Linked DNA regions of Mus musculus. The protein of the gene in region 2 interacts with the protein of the main gene of each other region in a pairwise test. Links are inferred from orthologs where the notes say so. Each region holds a gene or a part of one and is shown on either strand. Other genes may lie near its edges.

Region 1 (3,931 bases), on a different chromosome or scaffold from region 2:
ACCGAATGAGCAATATACCCTTTCACTAGCGACAGACCTCGAAATGGTGAACCTCAGGGCTAAAGTTGTCGCCTTTCTGACCTAACGCTGGATTTCCTTTAGTGGCACGCCCTGAAGACCGAGCTGCCATCCTGAATTTATCTCCAGCTTAGGTCCAAAATGGTTGATGTCCACCCGAAAGGACTGAACAGAGTAACTCTGAGCTCTCTGTGAAGCAGGGAGCCCAGTGTGAATAGGAACACTGATGAAGGAAGCGAGGCAGTTGCTCTGAGCTGTGAGACCCCTACCGCTATGCATTTCGATCATGCAGTTACCATGTTGGCGTCAATTCTTCTACTACAAAAATAAGCCATGTGATCTCTGGCCATCTGAAAAATACAGGCGTAAGATACGGGGACAATGTGAGGCCGCCAACCAACTCTCTAACGAGAACCACTGAGGCTGCAGGCTATGAGCCCTGGGTACTACCAGGCAGGTTGCTGGCCCAGCACAGACTGGGTCTCTGGGTCTCTGGGTCTCTTCTTACCTCAGGTCCATGAGCAGTTGGGGGCTGAGCTGCTGCAGTTGTTGCAGTTGCCGGCATCTGTCCACACTGTTTATCTGTCTGGGCGGCTTCTGTCATGCCGCCACGTAAAGGAGACTGGGACCTCTGCGGAGTGGCCGCTGCAGCCTCGGTACGAAATCGCTGCACCCCAGGCTGGGAGTAGGCATGGAAAAGGTGGGGCTGCCGGTTCTCGGAGCCTTCATGGAGGACGGGGATGGGAATGTAGCCTGGTCGGAGCTGGGGGTATATGGGGTGGCCTTCCCTAATGGGCAGCAGGCGGGAGCCATCGCGGGAAGGGCCATTGGCTGAAGATGCAGTGTCCTAACATAAAGTAAGGAGGAACAAAGACTGGTTAGAAATGTGGCAGAGCAGTCCCTGAGTAGGAGGGTGGTGCTGAGAGTCTCGGATCTTCCTGGGTGACATGGGCCTCACACTTCAGTCAGGCTGAGCACAGGGGGCCAGACCACTCCACTGCTCTGCTTTCTCCAGAGTCCCAGTCTACTGTGTGAGCGGCACTTTAAGGTTTAGGGGGACTGGAAATGGTGGTCATGTCTTTAATCCCAGGACCTGAGAGAGGTAGAAGTGGGCAGGTTTCTGTGACTCTGAGGCCATTCTGGTCTACAAAGTGAGCTCCAGGCTGGTCAGGGCTATATACTAAAACCTGTCTCGTGGCACACCAAGGAGTCAAAGTATCAGTTTGAAGTACAAGAGAGGTCTGTTTCTCACAGTGGTGAGAGAGGTTTTTTTCCTGGGTGACAGCAGTGTAGACAGCAGATAGTGGCAAACCACCCCTGTGCATCTTCAGAGGGTGAAGCCAGGTGACCCCAGGAAGACTCAACTCCAGTTACAGCAGCACACTTCTCAGCTGCCAATATTTCTCATCTGCACAGCTTGTATTTGATCAATACAGAATGTAGCTTGAAAATCTTTCTGGAAAAGAATGTAAGCATGTGCTCTGTGTGTGCTGTGTATGTGTTGTCTGTGCTCTGTTCTGTGTGTATGTGCTGTGCTGTGTATGTGCTGTTCTGTGTGTTGTCTGTGCTCTGTGTGTGTGCTGTGTGTGTTGTCTGTGCTCTCTCTCTCTCTCTCTCTGTGTGTACTCTGTTCTATGTGTTGTGTATGCTCCGTGGTGTGTTGTCTGTGCTATTTTGTGTGTTCTGTGCATGTACCGTGTATGCTCTGTGTGTTGTGTGTAATCTGTGTGTGTGTTTCAGGAGCTAGCTAGCTCCTTGGAACTATTTTTAGAACAAGCTGTAGGAAAGGAGATGCACTGGAATGCAGAAGTGGTGCAAGAAGAGAACAAAACCAGGGGATTACTCGCCAGTCTTACAAGGCCAACTACTAAGAGTCTCCGCCTGGCTAACTTTATAGCAAGGCTACTGGGCTTTCTCCTAGGCCCAGCTACGTGTTTCCTTGTAAAATCCAGCTATTGCAAAAGAACAGCTAAATCAAGCCAACCAGAACCTCCTTGTTCCCAGCCCACCATGGTGGATAGCCCAGGTCTGGCCACCTCCAATCCTCCCCAGATGTCTGTCCATCACCCTTGGATGGTCAGAATCCTGCTAGGTCAGTCTGGTTAGACTCCCCCTTGCCTTCGATCAGTTTTCCCCTTTGGATGCTATGCTGTCCACCTGTCCCACATTGTGCTTTGTCTGCGCTCAACAGGGAGCCAGCTGAGCTCATCTCTCCCTACTCGAGCAGCAGTGCTCTGTCTCAGGGCTCCCAGTAAACAGTTCCTTGGCACGTTTTGAAGAAGCACCACAGAACCTTTTCCCCCTTCGGTACAATAAACCCTGTTTGGCCCGAGGGCAGTTGGGGGTCCTTCCTGTGTCCTCACATGAAGTTGTCCCTTTAGAGGCCTGGCTATTTTGGGACCCTTGAGAAGGCCAAGTTCCAGATGTACCTCTGGGCAGATCTTATTTCAGACACTGAGGCCAGTCAGCCACTCACTGGGCAAGGACATCTCTCTCCAACCAGAGTCTGTGCAACTTTGTCTCCCAGTGTCCCCTGAACAGGAGAGTCCTTCCATAGACGAGGGAGCTGGCTGTGTCACCTGTACAGATCCCACTAGGATATGGGAGTAGGTAGTGGCTCTGTTTGGGAGGGTAAGCCTTCTTCAGGGAGGTAGCTCTCCAAATGACAAACAAAATGTCAAAAAAGCTGGGAATCTGTGAGCCCAGGGTGTCAACTTCTACAGCTGCAGAACTGGGCAAAGGCCAAGGCCAGACCCTGAGGGTTGGTTTGCATTTTGAGTGAAAAGACCATTAATTCTTCCATGTCTTATATTTATATACAGGTTTAGACACCAGGTGGCTGACCCTGGAAGGTGCCCCTTTCAGCTTCTCTCCTGCTGAGACCTTGCCCCTGGAGGGCCTCCAGAATACAGAAAAGGCAAGGGTGTCACTGTGTCCTTGGGGAGAGGGGCAGACAGGCACTTGGTACTCTCAGATTAGAATCCCCACGTGCTCAGGACACCAGCGTTATTTTAGCTTGCTTAACTCTCAGGTCACCCAAGAGCTGGGAGTAGATCCAGGCCTCACACAGAGAAAAGGGCCCAGTTCTTGATCGGAGGTGTACACCATGGGGAACTGGCAAGAGACAACGAAGAATCCTGTCATAACATGTTTTCTAGGCAGTGTGTCTACTCTTGGGGACAGGACCCTTCTTTCCAGTTGAAATCAGACTTTGCACAGTCCTGTCATATGTTCTCTGGGGACTTCCTGGACTTACTGTTTGTTCTGGCCACGAGCAGAGCCTCAGCCACTACCTACTCCTCAGATCTAGGCACCTAGAAGGCCTGAGCTAGCCTCATCTACAAGTTCCGGTGAACATCAAACTACTACTCAGATAGGCCCCAGGAGTGATCAAAGCAACAACATATGACCCTTGATAGTATGTAAGGAAATCCTGGGTTCAACTCCAACTATCATATAAAACCAGGCGCATATATACAACCCCAGCACTTAAGAGGCAGAAGCAGGGCCGGGCGGTGGTGGCGCACGCCTTTAATCCCAGCGCTTGGGAGGCAGAGGCAGGTGGATTTCTAAGTTCGAGGCCAGCCTGGTCTACAAAGTTGAGTTCCAGGACAGCCAGACCTATACAGAGAAACCCTGTCTCAAAAAACAAACAACAACAACAAAAAAAAAACAAGAGGCAGAAACAGGAAAGTCACAAGTTCAAGGTCATCTCCAGCTACATAATGAGTATGAGGTCAACCTTGACTACATGGGACCCTGTTCAAATATTAGACAAGTCAATGCATGGAACAAACAGGAAACACCTGAAGAGCAGGGGAGGCTGAGGTACAAGGGGAATGTGGGGCTGTCCCACAGGGAGGCTAACCTAGCTAGGATCCAAGCTCCGTTTTACTACCGATTAGTGAGCATG
Region 2 (4,603 bases):
ATTAAATGCTTATGAACTCACCAAGCAGCACCCCTGGACCAGTTCACTGTGCCTGAACAACTGAAAAAGGAGCTAGCAGTCTTTTTAAATTTATAGACAGGGTTTCTCTATGTTGCCCTGGCTGTCCTGGAACTCGCTCTGTAGACCAGACTGGCCTCAAACTCGGAGATCCCCCTGTCTCTGCCCCTAAGTGCTAGGATCAAAGGAAGATGCCACTAATTTAATAAGACAAGAAAACAAATCAACCTGATTAACTCTAAAACCAAGGGCTGTGTCCAATGCCCTGATTGGCCCGGCCACATTTCTGCTCTGAGAGGGCAGCAGCTGTGCCAGCCCTGACCACTATGGTTGGAGAATGAATATGAAGTCATTTCAGACTGTTCAAGTATACAAGGGCTGAGCTCCCAGTTAGGCATACTCACAGGAATGTTGCCAGCAGTGGCACCAGCTCCAAATCTGGCACCTGCATCATACCCTCCTTCCACCAACACTGCTGAGCCAGGTGGATAGATGGGACCAACTGGATAATAAGCCATGGGGATTGTGGAGCCTAGAGGCCCAACAGCCACAGACTGGGCCATAGGCAGATACAATGAGGCGCCAGGAAATGCAGCTGACATGGTGGGGACTGTGGCAGCCCCTGGATGAACAAAGCTTGGACGATAGAGCTGAAAGAAGCAGAAGAGAAAGCAAAACATTATTTTTGTGACATTCCTATTTGGAATCTCTTTAAGTATTATTGAGACCATCTCCTGTAGCTCAGGCTAGCCTTCAAGTATGTAGGAGTGGATGACCTTGAACTCCTGACTCTCCTGCTTTACCTCTTGACTATGGAATTAGAAGCCTGTGCCACCAAACCCAGTTCACATTGTGCTAGGGACCAAATCTAGGGCTTGGTGCATGCTAAGCAAGCATTCTACCAAATCAGGTACATCCCCAGCCCCTTGTTTGGTTTTGGAAATGGGGTTTGGTTATACTGGCAGCCTTGAACTCAGCTTCCTCCTGACTCAGCCTCTCAATGCTGAGACTACTCGCCTGTACCACCACGCATGGCTCATGAGTCCATTCTTAGTTGTTTTTTTTTTTTTTTTTTTTTTTAAGATTTATTTATTATATGTAAGTACACTGTAGCTGTCTTCAGGCACACCAGAAGAGGGTGTCAGATCTCATTACCAGTGGTTGTGAGCCACCATGTGGTTGCTGGGATTTGAACTCAGGACCTCTGGAAAAGCAGTGCTCTTAACCATTGAGCCATCTCTCTAGCCCCTTGTTCCTAGTTCTTGTGTTTGCAGATTACACACTGGTTATAGTCACTGGCACACAGTATTCTGAGTCATTTGCGTCCACAGCTACTATTGTGCTCAAGGGACCCAAACTCAGCTTAAGTCAGCATGTGTCAAATAGCATAATCAGATACTGCATTCAATTCCAATGGTAATTTTCACCTTAAGTTCTAGATGATTCACAGAGCATCCTTCTGCTTGTGAAGTCAGATTTGAAGACTTAACAAGGGGATCCAAGAGTGTTCTCAACTAGCTACAAGTCTAGGAAACTGCAGTACCTCTGAATATGCAGGTGGAGCATCAGTATAGGGTGGAGCCTGAGGAAGATGTAAGGTCTGAGGATATACTGGATTCCCAGGAGGTTGCACAGGGTAGGTAGGCTGTGTTGGATATTGACCTGGAATACAAAAGGGGAGGAGAGATGTTGTCTGTCAGATTAGGAGGGGAGGTGGCAAACAGGAAAGATGCTCAGTGTGTGAGACAAAGTGCTGCTCTTCCTGAGGACCCCAGTTCTATTCCCAGCACCCACATATGACACAACCTCCTTTCAACGCTACCTTCTGCCTTGGTGGGCACCTACACTCACACTCACAGACACTTACACAGGCAGAGGCAGGCACACTTTGAATAAAAACAAGTTTGTAAGCAGAGCTACTAGACGGGCCAGGGTGCACAGGGTGGGGAGCAAGCAGAAGAGCTGCAAATAAGGCTGCCTTATTTCTTAGAGCCAGGAAAATAAGGATGGTCTCGGCACCCTCGCGCCCGAAGGTGCTGGCTTCTGACTGGGCAGAAGGCGCCGTTCCCACTAGCATACTGATTGATGGAGGCTAACTTGGCCATGTTCCCTTTCGAATAGAGGGCAGGTCTGAGGACCCGTTCCGGGGTCTCCGGACTGCTGGTGTCTTAGGGGACTCCTCTGGGTGATCTCCCCCGGGCTGTGCTGTAACCAGTCCTGACTCTGTGGGACCCACGGTTCTCAGTGTTTACCTCACGGGTTCCTAGTCAAGGTCGACCTCCAAAGAGTGAGTGACTGGAAGTTAACCGTGAGAAGGGCGGCGGGTGGAGGGGTGGGGAACGCGACCATGTTCTCACAAACATTAGCAACGCACAGGGGCGGCTACGAGTCCGGGCCCCGAGGAGGAAGCGCCAGAAGTCCCCGGCGGGCGAGAACGGGTCCTCGAGGGCCTGGGCCGTGCAGCGGAGCCGGCACCTCAGCAGTTAAGCTCGGCCGAGGCCTGTTGTTCCGAGGCGCGGCGCCCCGCCTCCGCCCGCCCTCCATTGGCTTCCCCAAATCCCTGCTCTAGCTCGCCATTCGCTCCAGCCGCTGTCCGTCACGGAAAAGCCCCCCCACCCCACACACAGGAGCCCGCGGCTCCAAACTGCGCCACACGGTTTATGGGGTCGGGGCCCAGAGGGCCGAGCGGCTGCGTTGTGGGGGTGGAGGGGGGCGGCCACGTCAGGTGCGGCCGCGCTGTGCGGCCCGCTGAAGAGAGCCGCACAGACCGCCCCAGGCCCGACGTCCCCCAGCCCGCTCGACCCGAACCCGCCCGCTTCCCCGACGGCCCCCGCCACTTCCCGGCCTTGCCTTTGCTGTTCATGGTGGCTCTGAGTCCGCTCCCACTCGGCGTCGCGGACGGTTATTTTTCTCGTCCTCTTCCTGTTCGGAGTCACTTCCGTGTCACGTGACGTTCGTCCACTCTGCGTCAGGAGATGCCCGAGTGCGCCGCCGCCGGAAACCCCGCCCCCTCGCAGGCCGGCCAGTCGCGGCAAGGAGGGCGCTCGCGGCCCTGCTCTGCTCGGAAGCCCCGCCCTCCCCGCGCGCTCTGCCCTCACGGCGCGCGCCTCCTCTGGGCTCGGCCCCGCCCCTCCCTGCGCGGCTTCGCCCTCACCGCGCGCTTTGCCCTCACTAATTGCCCCGCCCTCCCTGCGAGGCCCCGCCCTCCTCGCTCTCCCCGCGTTCCTTGCTCTCTCTGCGCGGCCCCGCCCTCACCGCGGTCCTTGCTCTCACCGTGCGCCCCGCCCTTATCACGAGCCACTCCTTCCCGCGCGGCCCCGCCCTCACCGCACCGCTAGCCCCGCCTCCCTGAACGCTCCGCCTTCACCGCGGGCTCCTCCTTTCTGCGCGGCCCCGCCCTCCCTGCGCGACCCCTCCCTCACCGCGCGCTCCTCCTTTCTGCGCGGCCCCGCCCTAAAGAAAGCGGAGTCAGCTCATCTCAGGGCGACTTCCTCACTGTGAGTCGCCTCTGCTCACCAAATTCAGGTGTGAACACAGGCTGTCACGACTCCACAGTGCCTGCGAGACGCAGCCCAGACCTCAGACCTTAGCCTGTCCGCCGTTCTGGTCCTTCCAGGCCTCTTGTTGAGGGCCCAGCGCCTGGCTTCGTGCTCGGAGATGGACCGTGTCCCCGCGCCCCGCCCCCTGTCCTGAGATAGACCGTGCCCCAGCACAAGCTGAGGGGACGCAGCCAGCACCTGCACCCTGGCCTGGCACGTCCTACGGGGACCTGAAAACTCCCTACAGATGTTGTGAGTGGTTTAGCCCGCGCTCAGTTGTCCAGAAGAGTAGCGACGACGTCTCTTAGGACAGTGATCACATTTTTTCCCGTTTCCTCGTTCCAGAATATCTGCTGAGCAACCGAACGCGCTCTCATAGATGCACAGAGGAACCGACCGCCGCAGCTGTCTGCAGAAGTTCGTGTTGTGCGTGGTCAAGTAGATGGGCAGGCTTTGGAGGGAGAGGTCCTTGGTGAACGGACTCCTGATTCGTCCGACACCGAAGGCCTTGCTTGTGTGTCAGGTGTCTATTTAACAGTTTGCGTGGCGTCCTGTAAATGCAGTTTCGTCCAGTCGGCAAGCACAGCAGCCTGAGAGGCTGATCTAGTTCAGCCTGGGGACCTGCGCATGAGTGTCATGGGTTCACGCCGACACACATATAAAAATAAACATTCGAGAAGAAAAGAAAAACTGATCTAAAGGACAGGTTACAGACTTGAGTTTTGTGTTCGGCCTCCCAGGTTCCGGGTCAGTATTTCCATTTTGGTTTCCTGTCAGCACACAGAGCATCCCCTAACTAGGCTGCGCTAACTAAAGGATGTTAGGGAACTCTCTTGGGTATTTTTTAAGTTCCCATTAAGTATTTATATTAATTTGATTTGGATTAAATCAGTATCATAAAGACTGTGGTATTTACATTTCCTTGACTAAAGCAAAGTATCCATAGACATATGAAATAAAAACAATAGTAGCAACAACATAAATTTAAAAAGTCAGATGCTGCTATGGGGTAACCATTCCAAGGACCACTGTCTTATGAAGAAAAG

The links.
Region 1: the proteins of Dazap2 (region 2) and Bag3 interact in binary tests that used the Homo sapiens proteins (3 or more experiments, as listed by UniProt). The two-hybrid records come from large-scale screens. The link is inferred for Mus musculus from reciprocal best matches to the Homo sapiens genes DAZAP2 and BAG3.

Annotation. Positions count from the first base shown.
Region 1 is NC_000073.6:128,536,907-128,540,837, reverse strand, and holds part of Bag3 (BAG family molecular chaperone regulator 3), read right to left. Parts: intron 866-3,931; coding exon 527-865; intron 1-526. UniProt on the Homo sapiens protein: Co-chaperone and adapter protein that connects different classes of molecular chaperones including heat shock proteins 70 (HSP70s), e.g. HSPA1A/HSP70 or HSPA8/HSC70, and small heat shock proteins (sHSPs), e.g. HSPB8.
Region 2 is NC_000081.6:100,613,990-100,618,592, reverse strand, and holds the start of Dazap2 (DAZ-associated protein 2), read right to left. Parts: upstream 2,932-4,603; 5' UTR 2,882-2,931; coding exon 2,869-2,881; intron 2,544-2,868; exon of another isoform or gene 2,271-2,543; intron 1,681-2,270; coding exon 1,562-1,680; intron 669-1,561; coding exon 423-668; intron 1-422. UniProt on the Homo sapiens protein: In unstressed cells, promotes SIAH1-mediated polyubiquitination and degradation of the serine/threonine-protein kinase HIPK2, probably by acting as a loading factor that potentiates complex formation between HIPK2 and ubiquitin ligase SIAH1.